Linked DNA regions of Ovis aries. The main gene of each other region encodes a partner of the protein of the gene in region 2 in a complex. Links are inferred from orthologs where the notes say so. Each region holds a gene or a part of one and is shown on either strand. Other genes may lie near its edges. The genes, in order: KSR2 and MAP2K1.

Region 1 (3,813 bases), on a different chromosome or scaffold from region 2:
GTCCAAGGGACTCTCAAGAGTCTTCTCCAACACCACAGTTCAAAAGCATCAATTCTTCGGCACTCAGCTTTCTTCACAGTCCAACTCTCACATCCATACATGACCACTGGAAAAACCCTAACCTTGACTAGATGGATCTTTGTTGGCAAAGTAATATCTCTGCTTTTCAATATACTATCTAGGTTGGTCATAACTTTTCTTCCAAGGAGTAAGCGTCTTTTAATTTCATGGCTGCAGTCACCATCTGCAGTGATTTTGGAGCCCCTCAAAAATAAAGTCTGCCACTGTTTCCACTGTTTCCCATCTATTTGCCATGAAGTGATGGGACCAGATGCCATGATCTTCGTTTTCTGAATGTTGAGCTTTAAGCCAACTTTTTCACTCTCCTCTTTCATTTTCATCAAGAGGCTTTTTAGTTCCTCTTCACTTTCTGCCATAAGGGTGGTGTCATCTGCATATTTGAGGTAATTGATATTCTCCCGGCAATCTGGATTCCAGCTTGTGCTTCTTCCAGCCCAGCGTTTCTTATGATGTACTCTGCATAGAAGTCAAATAAGCAGGGTGAGAATATACAGCCTTGATGTACTCCTTTTCCTATTTGGAACCAGTCTGCTGTTTCATGTCCAGTTCTAACTGTTGCTTCCTGACCTGCATATAGGTTTCTCAAGAGGCAGGTCAGGTGGTCTGGTATTCCCATCTCTTTCAGAATTTTCCACAGTCTATTGTGATCCACACGGTCAAAGGCTTTGGCATAGTCAAGAAAGCAGAAATAGATGTTTTTTTTGGAACTCTCTTGCTTTTTCAATAATCCAGTGGATGTTGGCAATTTGATCTCTGGTTCCTCTGCCTTTTCTAAATCCAGCTTGAACATCTGGAAGTTCATGGTTCATATACTGCTTAAGCCTGGCTTGGAGAATTTTGAGCATTACTTTACTAGTGCGTGAGATGAGTGCAATTGTGTGGTAGTTTGAACATTCTTTGGCATTGCCTTTCTTTGGGATTGGAATGAAAACTGACTTTTTCCAGTCCTGCAGCCACTGCTGAGTTTTCCAAATTTGCTGGCATATTGAGTGCAGCATTTTCACAGCATCATCTTTCAGGATTTGAAAGAGCTCAACTGGAATTCCATCACCTCCACTAGCTTTGTTCGTAGTGATGCTTTCTAAGGCCCACTTGACTTCACATTCCAGGATGTCTGGCTCTAGGTGAGTGATCACACCATTATGGTTATCTGGGTCATGAAGATCTTTTTTGTACAGTTCTTCTGTATATTCTTGTCACCTCTTCTATCTTCTGCTTCTGTTAGGTCCAGACCATTTCTGTCCTTTATCGAGCCCATCTTTGCATGAAATGTTCCTTTGGTATCTCTAATTTTCTTGAAGAGATTTCTAGTCTTTCCCATTCTGTTGTTTTCTTCTATTGCTTTGCATTGATGGCTGAGGAAGGCTTTCTTATCCCTCCTTGTTATTCTTTGGAACTCTGCATTCAGATGCTTATATCTTTCCTTTTCTCCTTTGCTTTTCACTTCTCTTCTTTTCACAGCTATTTGTAAGGCCTCCTCACACAGCCATTTTGCTTTTTTGCATTTATTTCCATGGGGATTGTCTTGATCCTCGTCCCCTGTACAATGTCACGAACCTCTGTCCATAGTTCATCAGGCACTCCGTCTATCAGATCTAGTCCCTTAAATCTATTTCTCACTTCCACTGTATAATCATAAGGGATTTGACTTAGGTCATACCTGAATGTGTAGAAGTGAGAGCTGCCAATTTCTACCTTGGTTTAAAGAAGGGTTGAAGGGCCATCCTTAGATCTCTAATCCTTTGCAAGCACTTACCTTTTGACACACAAGTTCCAGTCAACCCACCAGCTGCATAATCAATGGTGACAGATGATAACACAGCTTCTACCCATCACCCAGGTCTTACAAACGGACTCAAAGAGGGTTTGTATGGATCACAAGGGAATAGATCAAAGACATACCCGATCTTCCCTGAGCTCACAGCTCCCACCATAGCACTTGCCAAGATGCAAGGCTTGCGTACTTGGGATCTTACTGCTTGTATTGAGATTAAGAATGAGAAGACTCCTAATGGACCCTTGGCATCACAGGCCACACCAAGAACACTGATGCTGTAGCTAGTCCTAAGTGATAGGAGAGCAAAGGTCTCAGCTTAAAAACACATCAAAAGATTGTTCCACAACTGCTCAACTGAAGCTACAGTTATTTTTTTCCAATGCCTACATTGCTGTGTGAGGTTAGAGACAGCAAGTCCAAAAAAGTTCCCAACATCTGATATGTTCCTAATGTCACTTCTCTGTTAACCACCCCTTTTATATAGCTATAGACCATGGATCCTGAATATTTAAAACAACAATGGTGGAGCCCTACAAATGTGCTCTGCTGTTTTAATGAAAGCCAGAATAAGTCATCAGAATGTTGATCCGGGTTCAACAAACTAGGGTCTGCAGGTGAAACCCAGCCCATCGCCTGGTTGTGTTAATAAAGTTTTATTGGCACACAGCCACAGACATCCACTTATAGTTTATCTGAGGTTGTTTTCACACTATAGTAGCAGAGATGAGCTGTTGCTGCAGAAACCTTATGGCCTGCAAGGCCAAAAACACTATCAGGTCCTTTACAGGAAAAGTTAGCTGACACCCGAGTTAGTCTAATCCATTCAATTACATTTGGAGAAAGTGAGCCTCAAAGATGCTTTTTCACAAATGTGGAGCACAAGGGGGTTCAATACCAGCTTTTCTGACTTCCCACAGGGAGCTCTCTCCAGAGCACTTCTCAACCAGAGTTATAGCACAAAAAGCATTTTCTGGAATTTCAAAGCTTCAAACCATAGATGTTGTGATTGGTAAAGCCAGACTCTCTATTTACCAGAATGTTGAATCTACCAGAACCCCCGCTGCTCAACACTGCCGGAAGCAGAGCTTTGGGAATGACTATGGTGGTGGGGAACCCGGGCGGGACTGACCTGGTGATGATGGCCAGGTGGGGCGGGCTCATGCAGGCGCCCATGAACAGCACCACGTTCTCATGCCGCGTCTGCCTGTAGGCCATCACCTCCCGCTTGAAGGCCTTGAGCTGCTCCTCGTTGTCCCTCTCGATGTCAATCAGCCGGATGGCCACCTCACCATGCCAGCGGCCGTGGTACACCTGCCCGAAGCGGCCCTTCCCAATGAGCTCGCCAATTTCCAGCTGCTCGAAGGGGATGTCCCACTCCTGGAGGAAGATGCTAGTCTGGCTGGCCTTGCGTGGGAAGCTCCGGGCCGAGAGGAGGGACAGGTTCATCTCCTCAAAGTCGTCCTCCGACTCCTCGGCCTCGTCGTGGCCCTCCTCATTCTACGGCCAGAGCGGGAGAGGGGTCAGTTCCCGTCAGCATCCCGCCTGCCCGCCAGGTCCCCGCTGTGTGTTGCCCGCTGGTGCACACGTGTCTCTATTTGCCCAGGTACCTCCTGTCTATCATTGTGCTGAAGTGAAGATGCTGAAAGGCAGATCATGAAACTGAAGCTCAGAGACAGGAAATGCTGGGGGGCAGGGACCACCTATCCTGGTTTCCCAGGACTTTGCCCATTTGGGGACTGACAGTCTCACACTTGGGAAACCGGCAGACAGGGATGGTTGGTCCCTGTGGGAAGTGCCTAGCTCTGGTCAGGCCGCCAGGCAGAGCAAGGGTTAAGAATCAGGTCTCCCGACTCCTAATATTCGATGCCCTCCTACTAGACCATGAAGTTCTGACTTGTCTGGTTATTTATATGGGAGTAAGAAAGACAACAGGCTGAAATACAGACACCCTATAC
Region 2 (3,813 bases):
CTCAGTTTCCTCACTTGTAAAATGCAGATAATGTACCCAGCTCAATAAGGTGTTTGTAGAAATATAATATTAATTTGCTTAGGATGGCGCTTAATATGATATATACCCAATAACTATTAGTTCATCAGTATTAATTTTGCTAACCCTGCTCTTATAGCAAGTGATAAACTCTCTGAAAGCAGGGCCTCACCCACTCTTCACTCATCTTCATAACCCATGAACCGTGTACCTAGTACACAGCATGGCATGTAACATATGGGTTTAAACTACATTAACCAGGCTTTACCCACATCAAAATCTTGGGATCAAGAAAACTGAGAGATGTGCTCCAAGTACAACCTAGGGACACCTGGTTGCTGCCACCTCTCTGAAGAGACAGGGACTTAGGAAGGAGGCCTGTCATTTTCTTGGTTAATCCAACTTCTACAGTCAGGTTTCCTAAATGCCCCAGACAGTGATCTGGATCCAGGGAGGAACAAGGAAGCAATCGTTCAGGTCACATCTCAGAGCAAAGGTCAGACCGGAGCCCCCAGCTTCCCAGGCCGCTCTTCAGAGGCGGCCAGGCTGCCACATACCATGTGCTCCATGCAGATGCTGATCTCGCCGTCGCTGTAGAAGGCCCCGTAGAAGCCCACGATGTACGGCGAGTTGCACTCATGGAGAACCTGCAGCTCCCTTATGATCTGGTTCCGGATGGCAGGTTTGATCTCCAGGTGAATTAGCTGAGGAAAAAAAGGTCCAAGGAAGAGAAGCTTTAAACATATATGGATGGATGGAGGGGTGGGTGGGTGGACAGACAGAAGTTTTCTTAAATGCTTAAGCTCTTAGACGTAGGAAGAGAGGAAACAGGCAAGTTTCAGCAAACAGGTTACTGGCCAGCTAGAATACTGAGTGCCAACATACCAAGGCAGGTGTTGGCACTGGAGGGGCTGTACCCAGGGGAGGGACAGCTGTGCCTCCGCTCCCAGGACCCAAGACTGAAGAAGAGGGGCCCTTTCGCTCCCAAGAACAAAAGGACCTGGGAAGCTGAGAGATGAGGGCAAGTGGCCTTAGAGGCTTGGTTGATACCCAAGGGCTGCAGGACCAGAAAGGTATGAGGAACTGGGTCTGCCAATCTAAGCTGCCCAGGATACTTCCCCTTGACCTTAGGAGCCTGATGTGGTTGGGATTTAGCCAAGGCCCAGGGGACCTCCTTATCTCCGCCCCGCCATGCTGTGCCTTGTTTCAGCTGAGGAGACAGGTGACAAAAACATGAAATGGTTACCGAATAAGGCTGAGCTTCTAAAAAGAGCCATGGACAATGAGTGTCAGAAGACACGGAAGCAGCGGTTATCAGCGTGGGCGCTGGTGAAAGCTAGACAGGAGGTGGGCCTTGAAGATGGGAAGTGTTTGAAAAGATGGAAGAAACAGCATGAGCAAAAATACGTGGACAGAAATGAACATGGTGTGCTGCAAAACATGGAAGAGTCCAAATCTGCTGTCCGGAAAGAGGAGGACTCAGGCTCACCAGGGCGGGAAGTCCAGCTCAAGGGCTGCATGCCAGGGTGGGGAGCCAAGATGCCGTACTGCAGGGAGATGAAGGGGAAGCATGGGCAGGGGTGGAGCTCGGAGAAACAACACGAAGCCAATGTTTGGTGTGCCCCTGGAGCTGGGTAAATGGAGCCACCCCTTGCTCTTGAAAAATGGCAAATGAGCATCTCAGCTTTCTTTCCAGAGCACCCAGAAAGCTAACAAAGGGTCCCTTGCTATTATTTCCCAGTCTGGGGACTGGGATAAATACACTAACACAACATGAGTGTGTTTATCTGTAATCTAACAGATAACATGAATTCAAACTTCAAAAAGCACTAAAGGGTACTGAATGAAAAGTCAATTTTCTTTCCACCCTTGTCTCCAGGCCCCTAGGTCTTCTAAGAGATAATCCAATTACCTGTCTACCAAGGCAAGCTTGATTCAGCCCTTTTTTTTTTTAAAGTGCCCTCACCTTTCTGGCCATAACGAGTCCGGACGGCTTGTGGGAGACCTTGAACACCACACCTCCATTGCCGGCACCCAGCTCACTGATCTTCTCAAAGTCATCATCCTTCAGTTCCCCCACCTTCTGCTTCTGGGTCAGAAAGGCCTCGAGGCGCTTCCGCTGCTGTTCATCGAGCTCCAGCTCCTCCAGCTTCTTCTGCAAGGCCTCCAGATTGGTCCTGTCCCAAAGCGGGGAGCACAGGTCAACACTGGCATCAGAGAACCTCACCCGGAGGAGCGCTCCTGCTGTGGAGAGCTCCAGCGCTGGGGCCAGAGGGAGAGCTGGAGGAGGCGGCTCGGGGAGGGTCTCACCCGCTGCGGCTCTGCCCCCTCCACTCCACCACCCTCACGGCTCACCACAGACACACTTCCCGTCTCAAGGCCTGGTCTCCTCGTTTGTAAAATAAGGGAATGAGTTCTCTCTCAATAGGCTCTGGGCCTACGAGAGGAACCACAGAATCTACTAAAATCCAGAGTGAGCCACCTTGCTCTGCCTTAAAACCCCAGTGTCAAAAAGTCCCACGAGTGGTGGCTTTACAACACCATAAACAAAATACAATCTATTTCCTAAAATCACTAAATTGAAACCAAAGCACATCATCGAAACAGGCTCTAACCTGAATCACAACAGAAACCCTTCTTCTCTATGTGATCAGACCAGGAACAAGGTGAATCAAAACAGAGCAAATGGGATATACCTAAAATTTTTATTTTTGCAACAAACATAAAAGTGCATTCATTCACCACCTTCTCTGAGTAAGAGCGCCACATCACCTTTCTTACATGAACCAGAAGAGAGCACAGCGCCCATCATTTCCAAATTCTTTAAAGTGGAGTAAAAATGCCAACAGAATACTCTTAATAAAACTTTAAGAGTCGGATGACTTTCTCCCATTTTAATGCTCGCCTAATTTGACAGTATTTTCTTTTTTTTTACTGACTTGGACTTACTGAATCTTTCCACAGCTCTTAACCAGTATTCACAGAGGGAGAAAAAAGAAAACCACTTCGTTTGCAGTCATATTTCATCAGTGTATCTTATATTTAAATACATAAATTACAATTCCAGCTATAACTGTACAAAGGACTTTGAGAACAAATCATCTCTTGGTAAGCACATAATTCAACCAGTGGGTGCCAGAGTGAGTGGGTATGGCAGAGAGCAGCCTGCTAGTGTGTTTTACATAAAGAACTAAAAAGTGCTCATTACCTCCCAGGAGCTTGTGAAGAGAAGGGTGGTAAGGAGCGCTTCTACTGTTTCATTTTTGTCCTTAGTCTAAACAAACAACATGGATGATAAGACAGGCAGTCATTATACATCAGAAAGTTGGTGACCCCTCCCCTCAACAGGCACACCACTCTGAGCTTGAAGGGTAAGAGCAAGCATCATCTTCGACTCTTCGTTCACATTATGTTCCAAACCTTAAGAAGGAGAGGGAGAAAAAAAAAAGGAGAGGGAGACCCTATGCCTCCCCAGTGTATGGGAGGTTGCAGTACTGCCTTACAAATAACACAGTACACGGGGCCAAAGAGGACAGGGGGCTGATTTTCCCAGTCTTCCTCACTGGGTAACTCTGCGGGGAAGAAGGCTGGTGCCATGAACGGAACTGTGTCCCCTAAAAATCCGTAAGTTGAAACCTTAACCCCCAGCGTTTAGAGAGAGGATTTTTAGAAACTAATCAAGGTTAAGTAAGGTCATATACTACTGCTGCTGCTGCTGCTGCTGCTGCTGCTGCTGCTGCTGCTAAGTCACTTCAGTCGTGTCCGACTCTGTGCGACCCCAGAGACGGCAGCCCA

The links.
Region 1: the proteins of MAP2K1 (region 2) and KSR2 are in contact, whole or in part, in a crystal structure (PDB 7UMB), measured with the Homo sapiens proteins. The link is inferred for Ovis aries from reciprocal best matches to the Homo sapiens genes MAP2K1 and KSR2. Residues at the interface, in NP_002746.1 of Homo sapiens: Val81, Glu102, Met219, Ala220, Asn221, Ser222, Phe223, Val224, Gly225, Thr226, Arg227, Ser228, Met230, Arg234, Leu235, Gln236, Gly237, Met308, Ala309, Ile310, Phe311, Glu312, Leu314, Asp315, Val318, Asn319; in NP_775869.4 of Homo sapiens: Lys674, Arg818, Asp820, Lys821, Leu822, Arg823, Ile824, Gln825, Asn826, Ile837, Arg838, Gln839, Leu840, Ser841, Pro842, Gln877, Pro878, Ala879, Glu880, Ala881, Ile883, Trp884, Gln885, Gly887, Thr888, Met890.

What each region holds. Positions count from the first base shown.
Region 1 is NC_056070.1:57,629,190-57,633,002, reverse strand, and holds part of KSR2 (kinase suppressor of Ras 2), read right to left. Parts: intron 3,356-3,813; coding exon 2,988-3,355; intron 1-2,987. UniProt on the Homo sapiens protein: Location-regulated scaffold connecting MEK to RAF. Has very low protein kinase activity and can phosphorylate MAP2K1 at several Ser and Thr residues with very low efficiency (in vitro).
Region 2 is NC_056060.1:13,282,688-13,286,500, reverse strand, and holds part of MAP2K1 (dual specificity mitogen-activated protein kinase kinase 1), read right to left. Parts: intron 2,196-3,813; coding exon 1,985-2,195; intron 723-1,984; coding exon 576-722; intron 1-575. UniProt on the Homo sapiens protein: Dual specificity protein kinase which acts as an essential component of the MAP kinase signal transduction pathway.